Saccharomyces cerevisiae S288C: one gene and its partners. The main gene of each other region encodes a partner of the protein of the gene in region 3 in a complex. Each region holds a gene or a part of one and is shown on either strand. Other genes may lie near its edges. The genes, in order: MRP35, RML2, MRPL51 and MRPL22.

What was found.
Region 1: MRPL51 (region 3) and MRP35 share a complex: the UniProt entries of both Saccharomyces cerevisiae proteins name them as parts of the mitochondrial large ribosomal subunit.
Region 2: MRPL51 (region 3) and RML2 share a complex: the UniProt entries of both Saccharomyces cerevisiae proteins name them as parts of the mitochondrial large ribosomal subunit.
Region 4: MRPL51 (region 3) and MRPL22 share a complex: the UniProt entries of both Saccharomyces cerevisiae proteins name them as parts of the mitochondrial large ribosomal subunit.

Annotation. Positions count from the first base shown.
Region 1 is NC_001146.8:397,512-400,032, forward strand, and holds MRP35 (mitochondrial 54S ribosomal protein bL35m MRP35), read right to left. Parts: upstream 860-2,521; coding exon 512-859; downstream 1-511. Other genes in the region: NMA111 (Nma111p), read left to right, coding at 1-167; protein channel TOM70, read right to left, coding at 1,173-2,521. UniProt on the Saccharomyces cerevisiae protein: Component of the mitochondrial ribosome (mitoribosome), a dedicated translation machinery responsible for the synthesis of mitochondrial genome-encoded proteins, including at least some of the essential transmembrane subunits of the mitochondrial respiratory chain.
Region 2 is NC_001137.3:59,159-62,752, reverse strand, and holds RML2 (mitochondrial 54S ribosomal protein uL2m RML2), read left to right. Parts: upstream 1-1,901; coding exon 1,902-3,083; downstream 3,084-3,594. UniProt on the Saccharomyces cerevisiae protein: Component of the mitochondrial ribosome (mitoribosome), a dedicated translation machinery responsible for the synthesis of mitochondrial genome-encoded proteins, including at least some of the essential transmembrane subunits of the mitochondrial respiratory chain.
Region 3 is NC_001148.4:727,947-730,718, reverse strand, and holds MRPL51 (mitochondrial 54S ribosomal protein mL43 MRPL51), read right to left. Parts: upstream 929-2,772; coding exon 506-928; downstream 1-505. Other genes in the region: SNT309 (Snt309p), read right to left, coding at 1-227; YPR099C (uncharacterized protein), read left to right, coding at 606-962; TMH18 (Tmh18p), read left to right, coding at 1,191-1,237, 1,334-1,772; LEC1 (Lec1p), read right to left, coding at 2,104-2,772. UniProt on the Saccharomyces cerevisiae protein: Component of the mitochondrial ribosome (mitoribosome), a dedicated translation machinery responsible for the synthesis of mitochondrial genome-encoded proteins, including at least some of the essential transmembrane subunits of the mitochondrial respiratory chain.
Region 4 is NC_001146.8:303,181-306,325, reverse strand, and holds MRPL22 (mitochondrial 54S ribosomal protein uL22m MRPL22), read left to right. Parts: upstream 1-1,710; coding exon 1,711-2,640; downstream 2,641-3,145. Other genes in the region: TDA7 (Tda7p), read left to right, coding at 1-1,256; 40S ribosomal protein uS3 RPS3, read right to left, coding at 2,924-3,145. UniProt on the Saccharomyces cerevisiae protein: Component of the mitochondrial ribosome (mitoribosome), a dedicated translation machinery responsible for the synthesis of mitochondrial genome-encoded proteins, including at least some of the essential transmembrane subunits of the mitochondrial respiratory chain.

The DNA of each region.
Region 1 (2,521 bases), on a different chromosome or scaffold from region 3:
ATAATAGTTATTGTAAAATGAGGTTAATGACTTTCGACAATGTGCCCTTCGCTATTTCACTGAAAACGAATTATCATTACTTCCCTACTGCAGAATTGAAGAGGGACAACATCACGCACAAATGGATTGAAAAGGAATTTACCGGCAACAGCCAAAGTGAAAAATAGGCCAGATTTGATAAAACATTTATATATGTATGTATGTATGTATACATCAAAGTCTTCCATAAAGAACAGTTTTTTTATAGACTATCACAGGAGCGTTAAGATTTACAAGTTTTTCAATCATTTTGAGGGGTTAGGATTATGATGTCGAGATGGTTGCAAGCGCCTGACGAAATAGTATTTAATTACTTCAACGCTTGAATTCTCTAAGGTATTATCGATTGTATAAATTTATGGTTATTGTTTCATACTTATTTATATACATGAAGACCGAAAGCAAATACTCAAACAATTGATTTGGGGTTAACGGTGCGTTTGGTTTAGAGGAGAACATAATTATTCCACCTTCAATGATAGGGTAATAACCGCTTTAGATGCTTTGAATAAGCTGGATGGGCAATTTTCCTTCCGGTTAAGGCTTTTAATGATCTATGGGACCAGCCTATATTGCCATGTTTTCTTCCAGCTATGCCTCTTTTAAAAGTATTACCGGTACGCCTCCACCTCTTTGCTGTACCTTTATGAGTTTTCATTAAAGTTCTTATTGTTATTGTAGAAACGTTATTGAATAGAAAGCCGTTGAGCTTCACTTTGAAACTATTTGAACCTTTAAGTAGTGGTTTGAGTACATTGAAAACAGACATGTTTTGGTTTTGGTCTCCTCGTTGCCGTTTGTTATGCAAGCTAATTTTCATGATAGATATATATACTATCTTTTTTGTATTTGACCAGATTTTTTTAGGCTCCGCAAATTGGCGAGGGCTTCAAGGTTGAAAAAATTGGTTGTGGTTTATACGCACTGCTAATTATTTACAGAATGAAAGAGAAAAAGAAAAAGATATATATATATATATTAGAACATGCATACGTGTATATTGAAACAAAAATGAAAACAAAAATTTTCAAAGTGAGATGTCAATGTCATTGCTGCTCTTCCTTTGTCATTTAGTCTACTTTGTTACTTAGTTTTTGTCTTCTCCTAAAAGTTTTTAAGTTTATGTTTACTGTTTACATTAAACCCTGTTCGCGTAATTTAGCTAAAGTTTCTTGAATCTTTTTAGCCAATACTGGATCAGACCTAATTCTTTGTTGAACTTTAGCGGCTTCAGCAAAAGTAATGGCTTGTAATTTCTCTTCCATAGTTCTAGCCAAATCAGCGGATTCTTCGAATAATGTAATAGCTTCATCGATATCTTCCTGCTGCAATTTCATTTGAGCTAAACCGATTTTAGCTTGCTCACTTCTTGGGTCTAGTTTGGACGCTTTTTCTAATAAATTCGTGGCTTCAATAAAATTTTCTACTGTTGGATTTCTTGTCAACAAAGTGGCTTTACCGACCAAAGGCGCAATTCCAACATAAATACCATCCAACTTGTTTTCTAATTCAATAGCCAAATCGTACTGCTTCAAAGCCTTGTCAAAATCGTTCTTGTCTGTTAAAATTTCAGCAAAGAAATTTGGAACTTCTGGTGCCTCTGGAAATTTTCTCTTAGCTTCACTAAACAAAGTTTCACAGTCATCAAACTTGTTTTCACGGTACGCTAGACATGCTAATTGAATATAAGGGAAGATATTCTCTGGGTCTAATTCCTTAGCTTTATCAAAATCTTTTCCTGCTTGATCATAGTTTTGTAAAATGAAATTCATTTGGCCGCGGTGATAGTAAACAGAAGAATTGTTTGAGTCCAGTTTCAGCGCTTTATCGAAGTAGTTATAATATTCAGTCGAGTCATTTCTATCAGCCATGATTAATGCCATGTAGATATATGAATTGACTCTTGGGAACAATTCAATAGCTTTCTTGATGTCTTCGTGAGCTCCCAATGGATCGTTTTTCAAGAACTTGAAAATACCTGTGTGTTCTAATGAGATGGCCAATTTTTCCTTTAACTTTTCATCCTCATTGTTCTTGTCCAATTGTTCTTCAAATAACCTTGCAGCTTTCGTGAAAGACTCATCAGCCTTGTCGTAACTTTCGGGAGATCTTTTGTACAAATTACTTAAACCGTTCATTAACTCTTTATCAGCTTCATTGGATTCATCATAATTGGCAAAAGTCAACTCGGGTTTGAAAATACCAAAGAAAGAGGCCATGGATGTAACTGAAGGCAAGTTTTCCTGCTTGTCTTTGCGTTCTTTAGCTGGTTGGGTGGATAATTCAGTTGGAGTAGCAGTAGCGGTGTCAATATCGCCAAACTTTTCTTTCAATTTAGACATAGCTTGCTTATTCAAGTTCCTCTCCAACATTGGTTCAATAGAGGCGTCATTGAAGTCACCATTTAGAGACAATACAGACAAATCGAACATCGCATCCGCAAATTTTCCTAGCCCTTCGTTAGCAGAAGCTCTTCTCAGTA
Region 2 (3,594 bases), on a different chromosome or scaffold from region 3:
AAATGGGTGAATTTTGAGATAATTGTTGGGATTCCGTCTGTGTTGAAGGCAATAATATTAGGTATACAGGATATACTAGAAGATTTCCTCGAGATTATAGAAATGCCCAAAAGGAAGTCGATAGTGCTACATAATTATGTAACTTCATCCTCCTTCCTTTTATACTTTGTCGTTCGCTACCCTATTACATTATTAATTCTTGCATTTCAGCTTCCTTTAAATTTGATAGCTGTTTCCCATCGTACTTTTTGTCAACTAATTCTGTCCTATATGATAATTGAAGAGTGGGTGAATTTTGAGATAATTGTTGGGATTCCATTTTTAATAAGGCAATAATATTAGGTATGTAGAATGTACTAGAAGTTCTCCTCGAGGATTTAGGAATCCATAAAAGGGAATCTGCAATTCTACACAATTCTATAAATATTATTATCATCATTTTATATGTTAATATTCATTGATCCTATTACATTATCAATCCTTGCGTTTCAGCTTCCACTAATTTAGATGACTATTTCTCATCATTTGCGTCATCTTCTAACACCGTATATGATAATATACTAGTAACGTAAATACTAGTTAGTAGATGATAGTTGATCTTTATTCCAACAATAATACATATTAATACTATATACATAAGATCAAAGATGAAACTTGCTTCTTATTCCAGCAAGATTCTATATGCCATGATATACGACGAATAATATTTTGTGAATCAAGTTGATACTCCAAGGTTATGTTCTAATCTATGTTCTGTGGGTTCTTTATTTTTTGAATAACAACAAATAGTAAGCGCAAGTGGTTTAGTGGTAAAATCCAACGTTGCCATCGTTGGGCCCCCGGTTCGATTCCGGGCTTGCGCAGCTTTATTTTTTTAATCCATTCATTTCATGAGCAACTGTCAACTAATTCCAATACGAAGAGCCTAATTCTTTGATAGTTCCTTTTCTTTTCTAGTTTAGATTTCAGAAAGCGTAAACAACAATTTTAATCATCGTATTCAAATTTACATCGAACACGTTCATGATTAGCATGGAGTGTAATCATCATCAAAAAAAAAAAAAAAGAGGAGTGATAATGGCAATTAAGACAATTTTTTATATAACAGTAAGAATTGATATTGAAACCAAATTGTGCTTAACAAAAAAAACTAGGTCGAATGGATATTTTTCTTAATCCAACCGTACCGCTGTGTACAAATGAGGCAAAAGAGGTAAAATGTTTGAGAAAAGATTCCTTTCTTCAGCAATCCTTTTCTTGCATTAAATACATGTTCCTTGAGAAAACTTTTGATGTTTAATGTGTAAATATCTCATTAATTTCAGAATTTTCAGTGTTTGTTGTTTGTAAAATCAGTCATTTCAAAGATCCGCTTGGGGCGACAACTTAGTCATCATGTTAATGAGATACCAACAAAAAACTGTACTTGTAAGTTGTCTTTATCATCTCTAAAGGAACAATAATGCAGAAGAGAAAAAAGTAAAGAAAGTAATACACAAACATCCCCCTCTTGGCTTTATAAGCATACGCAAACAGTATAGTTCGAAAAAAAAAGTATTAGTACGATCTATTTTTGTTTGTCAGGAACTCCTGTTCCTTAACACATTCTATAGAAATATCTATATGTTACCATCCACGTACAGGTTGAAGCGCTTGGTATTTAAGATGAATAAGTATATTCTACGGTTAAATTTGAATAGAACCTCTGTTCTTTAAATACTCAAAAAAAATTTTCCATGCAAAAAAAAGACTACGCGAGGTGGAAAGTTAGGGCTTGAACCTATAATTGAAAGAGAAAGGGAACGTATGGGAAACTGAAAGCGAGTTCTAACTAAGCAAAAGAGAACGTTGTAAACTAGTCCAGAAATACGCAGAGAAGATAATTTAAGTGTTTATGAAAGATGTTGGTGCTAGGGTCTCTTAGATCGGCGCTGTCGTGCAGTTCCACAGCATCGCTTATTAGTAAGAGAAACCCTTGTTATCCATACGGTATACTCTGTCGAACTCTATCTCAGAGTGTTAAATTGTGGCAAGAGAATACTTCAAAAGATGACTCCAGTTTGAACATTACTCCACGATTACTAAAGATTATACCTAACGATACTGATATCGTGACTCTTGAGAAGCAGGATGAATTGATTAAAAGACGTCGTAAACTTTCGAAAGAAGTGACCCAGATGAAGAGGCTAAAACCCGTCTCACCTGGTTTGAGATGGTACCGTTCCCCCATTTATCCATATTTGTACAAAGGTCGTCCGGTTAGAGCCCTAACTGTTGTTCGAAAGAAGCACGGTGGTAGAAATAATTCAGGAAAAATCACTGTCCGTCACCAAGGTGGTGGCCATAGAAATAGAACGAGGCTGATAGACTTTAACAGATGGGAAGGTGGTGCACAAACGGTGCAAAGGATTGAGTACGATCCGGGTAGATCCTCTCATATCGCCCTATTGAAGCATAATACTACCGGCGAATTGTCTTATATTATTGCTTGTGATGGGTTACGCCCAGGCGATGTGGTCGAATCCTTCAGAAGAGGTATTCCTCAAACTTTACTGAATGAAATGGGCGGGAAAGTAGACCCTGCTATCTTGAGTGTTAAGACTACCCAAAGAGGCAACTGTCTACCTATTTCCATGATCCCCATAGGTACTATTATTCACAACGTTGGCATAACACCCGTTGGACCTGGAAAATTTTGTCGCTCTGCTGGTACATATGCCAGAGTCCTTGCGAAATTACCTGAAAAAAAGAAAGCTATTGTTAGATTACAAAGCGGTGAACATCGTTATGTGTCTTTAGAGGCTGTCGCTACCATTGGCGTGGTCTCCAATATTGACCATCAAAACAGATCTCTTGGTAAAGCCGGCAGATCAAGATGGTTAGGGATAAGACCCACTGTTAGAGGTGTTGCCATGAATAAATGTGACCATCCTCACGGTGGTGGCCGTGGTAAATCCAAGTCTAATAAATTATCAATGTCTCCATGGGGACAACTGGCAAAGGGGTACAAGACTAGAAGGGGTAAAAATCAAAATAGAATGAAAGTAAAAGACAGACCAAGAGGCAAAGATGCAAGATTATAAATAGGCTAATTTTAGTAGAAAAGAAGCAACATAGGGACCTTTTCTTCGTTGTTCTGGTTACATTTATCTGTACTATATAATTTTGCACAGCCTGTAGACAATGCCGCTTGTCCACAATCATGTAAATATAAATATTGAAACTTTTCACTTGTTTAAAATTTATGGCAAACCACTTTAATACTTTTTTCTTTTTAGGTACAATATTTACATTTTGATACTGTCCATCAGATTTTAGTCACTAACATCTAAGTTAAGGAAGTAAGAGATTCAGACTCCGGTAAGGAAAAAAAAAAAAAAGAAAAAAAAAAAACAAACTCTGAAATGAAAGCATTAGAAGAAAAAGTTATATCTCATGTACAATTTGAGCAAATTTGGACCGATATGATTTGAGGTTGTATGATAAGAAGTGCTATTTATGATTGTTTAAAAAGATGTTATTTTATTAAACAATTATACAAAATATCCTTTTTTTTAATAATGGCTTACATATTTTTGAAAAGGGTCTTGTTCT
Region 3 (2,772 bases):
GTTCGCCTTTTTTTGTTATTACGTTGTTTCAAGTATTCGGTGTACAATGCATTTGTAAGCGTAGAAACACTATTATCGGCCCCCTTTCTCTTCGCAAGTATACCTCGTATTTCGGGATGAACAGGCTCTCTTTTTATATTCGCAAATTCCTTCTTTACTAATTGATCTATTTCATTTTTGTAACCATCTGGTATTTTCCCTTTATCAACAAAGCTAAGGCCGTCCATCAAATCTAAACGTTGAATACCGTACGGTTGCTCTTTCAGATATCCTAGAAGTTACATCTTTTATATGTTTCAGTCTTATTCCATATTTATTAGACTAGTGTGATTTGCAGGGTGTAAAGCGGGTAACCAAATACAAGAGGTCATATTTCAGGACATGATCATATAACAATGGCAAAATTGACTTTAAATCTTAAATATCAGGAGTCTTATCTGCCCCAAATTATATATACAAGTATAATTATCTCTCTCTATTTCTAGAATTTTCTTATATACTAAAGCTAAATTCTATGCCTTTTCGCAGCATGCAGAGGCGACCATATACCCCTCACACTACTGTTCAAGCTTTCCACGTTATCATTCTTTGTTCTTCTGCGTAAAATGTCTCCATCAGAATCCTTCAATAGCTTTAGCTTGTTTTCTACATTGTCAATGTTCAAGTTTCTCACACAAATAACTTTTTCACGCCCATTTGTGTATTCTGCCCTCAACAAAGGATGTCCAGACTTCCTCATCACTTCAAACTGTATCCATGGGAACTCCTGGCCCCATTTATCTAATCTCTTTGAAGTCAAAAATTTCCTCATGCCTTCCGAAGACCCTCCCCAGTTACAGAATTGCAAAGTAATCTTTCTGCATGGAAACACGAATGCTCCAACTCCATTACGACCTATGGAATTTCGTGCAATAGCTTTCACAACCATTTCTCCATATATTCGTGTCTGTGTATCTACTTAGTCATGGTTTATGATAATCGTATTGATTGATCTTTTTTATCTCAGGGCTTATGATTTGTTGTAATTCTTATGAGCATCCCTCATCCGAAAAAGACGGAAAGCACCGTAACGTATAGTGCGATAAACTTACAGAAAAGAATAGTATTATTTAAGGGAGTTAAATGGAGTTGTTTGATGATATAGGCAGATCAAACTACGCTTTACAGTCCAGTAAACTTAACAACGAAAAATGTGTTTAGTCAAAACTACGGCTCATTTGCTTTTTTATTCCTTTGTGTATGTACAGATTAAGACACAAGAAAAAATTTGAACAATTATGATTAATTGAGAATAACTGACTAACAACTTTTATGTACCAACTTAATCTTTCAGATTTGGAGGAACGACGTTTTATTCCTATGTAGCTTCTCCAATCGCATTCAAAGTTCTTGAAAAAGACCAATTTTCTGCTTTGCAAAATAAGATCTTCCCGTATTTTTTCCAAATGCAAGCGGCATCACCTGTCATCCTGGCCCTTACCGCTCCAATTGCCTTGACAACAGGACCATTATCTTCTTTGGTGGTTGCATCTGTCAGTGGGCTAACCAATTTGTTTTGGTTGTTGCCCTGGACCCATAAAGTTAAAGAACAAAGAAAGAATATTGCGAAGAAATACACGGGTAGTGAATTGGAAGCAAAGGATGCTATATTACGTAAAGAATTTGGCAAGTCGCACGGATTGAGTCTTTTGTTCAATCTTTCTAATGTTTGCGGGATGCTTGCGTACGGTGTTTGTTTGTCAGGTGGTTTGTTAAGAAAAATTCCAAAATAATTATTTTACAAGTAAATATATATATGCAAGATCATTTTTTCGTCATTCCTTTGCCAAGGTGGAGATGAAGTTCGCAATCGGAATTTTTTGACCCTCAATTAAAGAATAAGGGACTCAGTTCTCTGCTATCCTGATCTTGGCTAAAAATAACTAAAAGGGGAATTGTGCTGTTTGTAGGATCTTAAAATAAAAGAGAACAATATTTATCTTGAAGTTTTTTCTATTTTTTTATTTCTACAAGCTTTTCTTATATATAGACCTAGCAATCCTATATTATTAAGCCGGAAAATCGTAACGAATAAAAACGAATAAAGGAGATACTAGAAAGGGCCTACTTTTTAGCAATTTGAGCTTCTAAATAATTTTTTAATTCCTGTGCGAAAACTTGAGATCTCAATTTATCAATTTCACTTTCATCAACAACAAGATTCAATAAATCTTTGTATTGCTTTTCTAATTCAACTTCATTCTCTTTATGTAAAAAATCGTAATCACCTGTATCGAGATCCAAATCCACCAAATCACCATCTCCAAGTCCAAAAGATCCAGAGCTGGATGGCATAACCAAGGAGTTTATGTCACTCCAATTCTTTTGAAGTATGCCAGCAGCGTGTTTGTTATTTTGTTTAGTACCTTGTTTAACCTTCAAATCTAACAACTTCTTATAGATTTTTCTCGCACCAATCTTTTTATTAAGAACATTATTAACTTGAACTTTCAAAAGTTTGACATCAATATCGATATCATCTCTACAAATTAACTTATTGAAGTCGATCCTTTCACTCGGTCCTCCGAATTTACTCTTTTGCAAAAATTTCACTATCGTAGTAATCCAAGTAATAAAACCTTCAAAAATGCCCTCTGAATCGTTCAAATATACATCATGAATAAACTCAAAAAAGGCATCTTGATGTTTGGTTACTAAGTTATGGATTTCTTCCACGACATCGAACTGTGTGGAAACGCCCAACTGACCATTGATAACATCATCAACAAGCCT
Region 4 (3,145 bases), on a different chromosome or scaffold from region 3:
CAACTTCATTTCAAATTAGTACCACTTCAGAACTCTCTTCTAGTTGGTTCTCAACAATTTCTTCTCCTTCTACGATATCAAATAAAGATACCACATTCCCAAGTTCCAGTCGGAATACTTCCACATCGTTTTACAGTTCATCGCTTTCATCGACGAACGATTTTTCAACCATAAGCAAATCATCGAAACTCAGTCCATCAGCTTCATCTTCGACAGTTTCCATAAGCACGATTTCCGTGCCAACGTCAAGTTCTGTTAGCTCATCCAGCAGTAAAGTACCTTCAAACCGTCCTTCATCATCATCATCATCAGATGATACAACAAGTGCTTACTCAAGCACGTATACTTTTCAGTCCTTACAATCTACTACTAGCAGCAGTATACCACCCACCACTCAAACACCCAGCACTAGTACGATTTCTACGTCTCCCATACCAACATCCAGTCAGGTCTTCAATACGGTAGCCATTTCAAGCTCCGAAGATTCAAAAACTATTTATTATTTCTATACCCAAACATATGATATTACTGACTCCTCTACAACGTTCGTGACGGGATTACCTACGACCATAGCAGTTGCAAAAAGTGAGGTAACCTCATTTTCCGCTCCATCTTCGACGATCACAGCTGACATGTCTTTCTATCAGCACTGGCTTGATGGCAGTTTGGATAATAACAAAAACCAAGGCACTTCAAAGACAAATACTGGTACCATTGTTGGAAGTGTGGTAGGAAGCGTCGGTGGTATTCTTATATGTGTACTAGTAGTTTGGTTCATGCTGGTTAGAAAAAGGAAGGCAAAGAGGCATTTCAAGGAAAACGATTCCTTCTGTCACGAGATTGGGCGCAGAACGGGATTCCCAACAACTGCCCAAGCAAAAGAGGCGTCACTTCAAGCTCAAGACTCGGGATCACAGCAACGAAACACCGAGACTGCTTCTGCTAATAATCCGTTCAGCAACGAATTCAATTTTAAGGCAAGAGGAAATCCTCCTCCAGTGCCACCACCAAGGAATGTTACCGCAATGAATGGCTCCTTTCAAAATATGCGGAGTAATTTCATGGACCAGGAAAACAGATTTTCCTATGGCTCTTCATTTACATATTCGTCATTGGGTTCATCTACTCAAGGTGGCTTTTCTACTTTATCTTCAAATTCGATACGACTCGGACGTGGTTTAGATAATGACATCTCTCATGATGAGAGAAATACAGTTCAGAACAATTCACAAGGGTTCTTGAGGGAAATTATATGACGATGACTTCAGTCTATTAGTATGATGTTTACTAATTAAGCAAAATCAGCTCTTGCTGAATAACACTACTATTAAAAATCATAAAAACATCTTTATTGCCAATAGTGAAGAACGACAAGGCCTTTTAAAAGGCATAAAAAACAATGATACCATTCTGCAATGAAAAAAAAAGAAAACTTTGTTCTTTGTGTATAAAGAAAATATTTTAGTTCTCCTAAATAAATAAATACTAAATTATACGAAACTCTTTCAGTCTTTTCTCCTGCTTGCTGCTTGAACAGTACTCATGATATTCTATTAATCTTCTGTGGGCGGGGTAACTAAGCCTTCACTGTACTCGGGATTTTGAATAAAAGTCAACTATCCAATCTGGAAGGCATTTTAACATACGCCATTAGGAGCCGCATAGCAAGTCAGAGAACCTCACCTCACCCTATCTTTTTTATTAAAGAAAATGAACTTCCACACGGCAAGAATATCTCAGGTCGGTGTCATTTCTAGGGCTCTACTTTCTTCTGTAAGTAGACGTTGGATTCATGTAACGCCAATAAGTCTTAATAATTCAGGAGGATCACTATTCGGAAGCATTACAGAAAATAAACCAAAGGAAGGAAAAAACAGGGGGGATGAAGATGCAGGCAGCTTCTCTAATAGGTTAGCGATTGCTTCTGATTCTTCTGGAGAGGCTCCTGAAGTTAATAGGGATTCAATAACCATAGAAAACGATAAACTACTACAGCAACATATCATATCGTTGCAGCAACCGGAACAATTAGCATCACAGAGCTTATTATCTCCTTTGAAAAGGGAAATATATGAAGCTAATTGTAAAATTAATGGTGGGTTTTACAAGAAAGATACTATTGTAAAGTTACCAAATTCTAGCGAACGTTACAAGCTAAAGTTAACAAAAAGAGAAATTGAAGTACTAGAACCTTCCGTATATGCTCAGTCATATAGAATTAAATCGTCGATGAAAAAGGCTACACTTTTGTTGAGGTTATTGGGAGGCCTCGACGTTATGAAAGCTATATCTCAGTGTCACTTTTCTAATAAGAAAATTGCTCGCGAAGTAGCAGAACTACTTCAAAAAGGTGTAAAAGATGGCCAAAAATTAGGTTTGAAACCAGAGGACTTATATATCTCTCAGATTTGGACAGGGAGTGACGGGTTTTGGAGAAAACGTGTTGAATTCAAGGCAAGGACAAGAATCGGAATCATAAGTCATCCTTACATACATGTCAGATGTATTCTGAGAACAAAGAGTGTTACGAAACGAAGACTTGCTTATGAAGCACATTTAAAAGAGCAAAAAAGAGCGCCATGGGTACAGTTGGGAGATAAGCCCATTAGGGGTGTTACAGGCGGCGTATACAAGTGGTGAAAACGATAGCGAACTCATTCATATCCGAGAAATCGTCCTGTAAGCTGAGAAAGATGAACTGCTACTCACTTCTTAACCTATATTCACAGTTGTGTTGTACAAAACTTTTCTTTTGATTATATAATATTGTGATTCTGTAAATAACAACTAGTTTCAACGCACTGCTTCAACGTGCACCCTCCTGACTAAACACGGCAATATGCAAGAAACCGCAACAATTAAGTGCACTAGAATAGAAGAAATTATTGTACTTATAGTTTATTTATGTATTTAATAATTAAATCTAAGCTTCAACTGGTTCAGCTTGAGCTTCAGTTTCTTCAGCTGGTCTGTAGTCCTTGACAGATGGAGCAAGAATTGGTTCTTCTTCTTTTGGTTCAATGATGGTGACAGCATCTGGCAAAGCCTTTGGACCAGTTCTGCTCTTAGCTGGGTCTCTCATAATCTTAACCTTGATACCCAAAACACCTTGTCTCATCAAGACGTGTCTAGTAGCAGTGTCAAT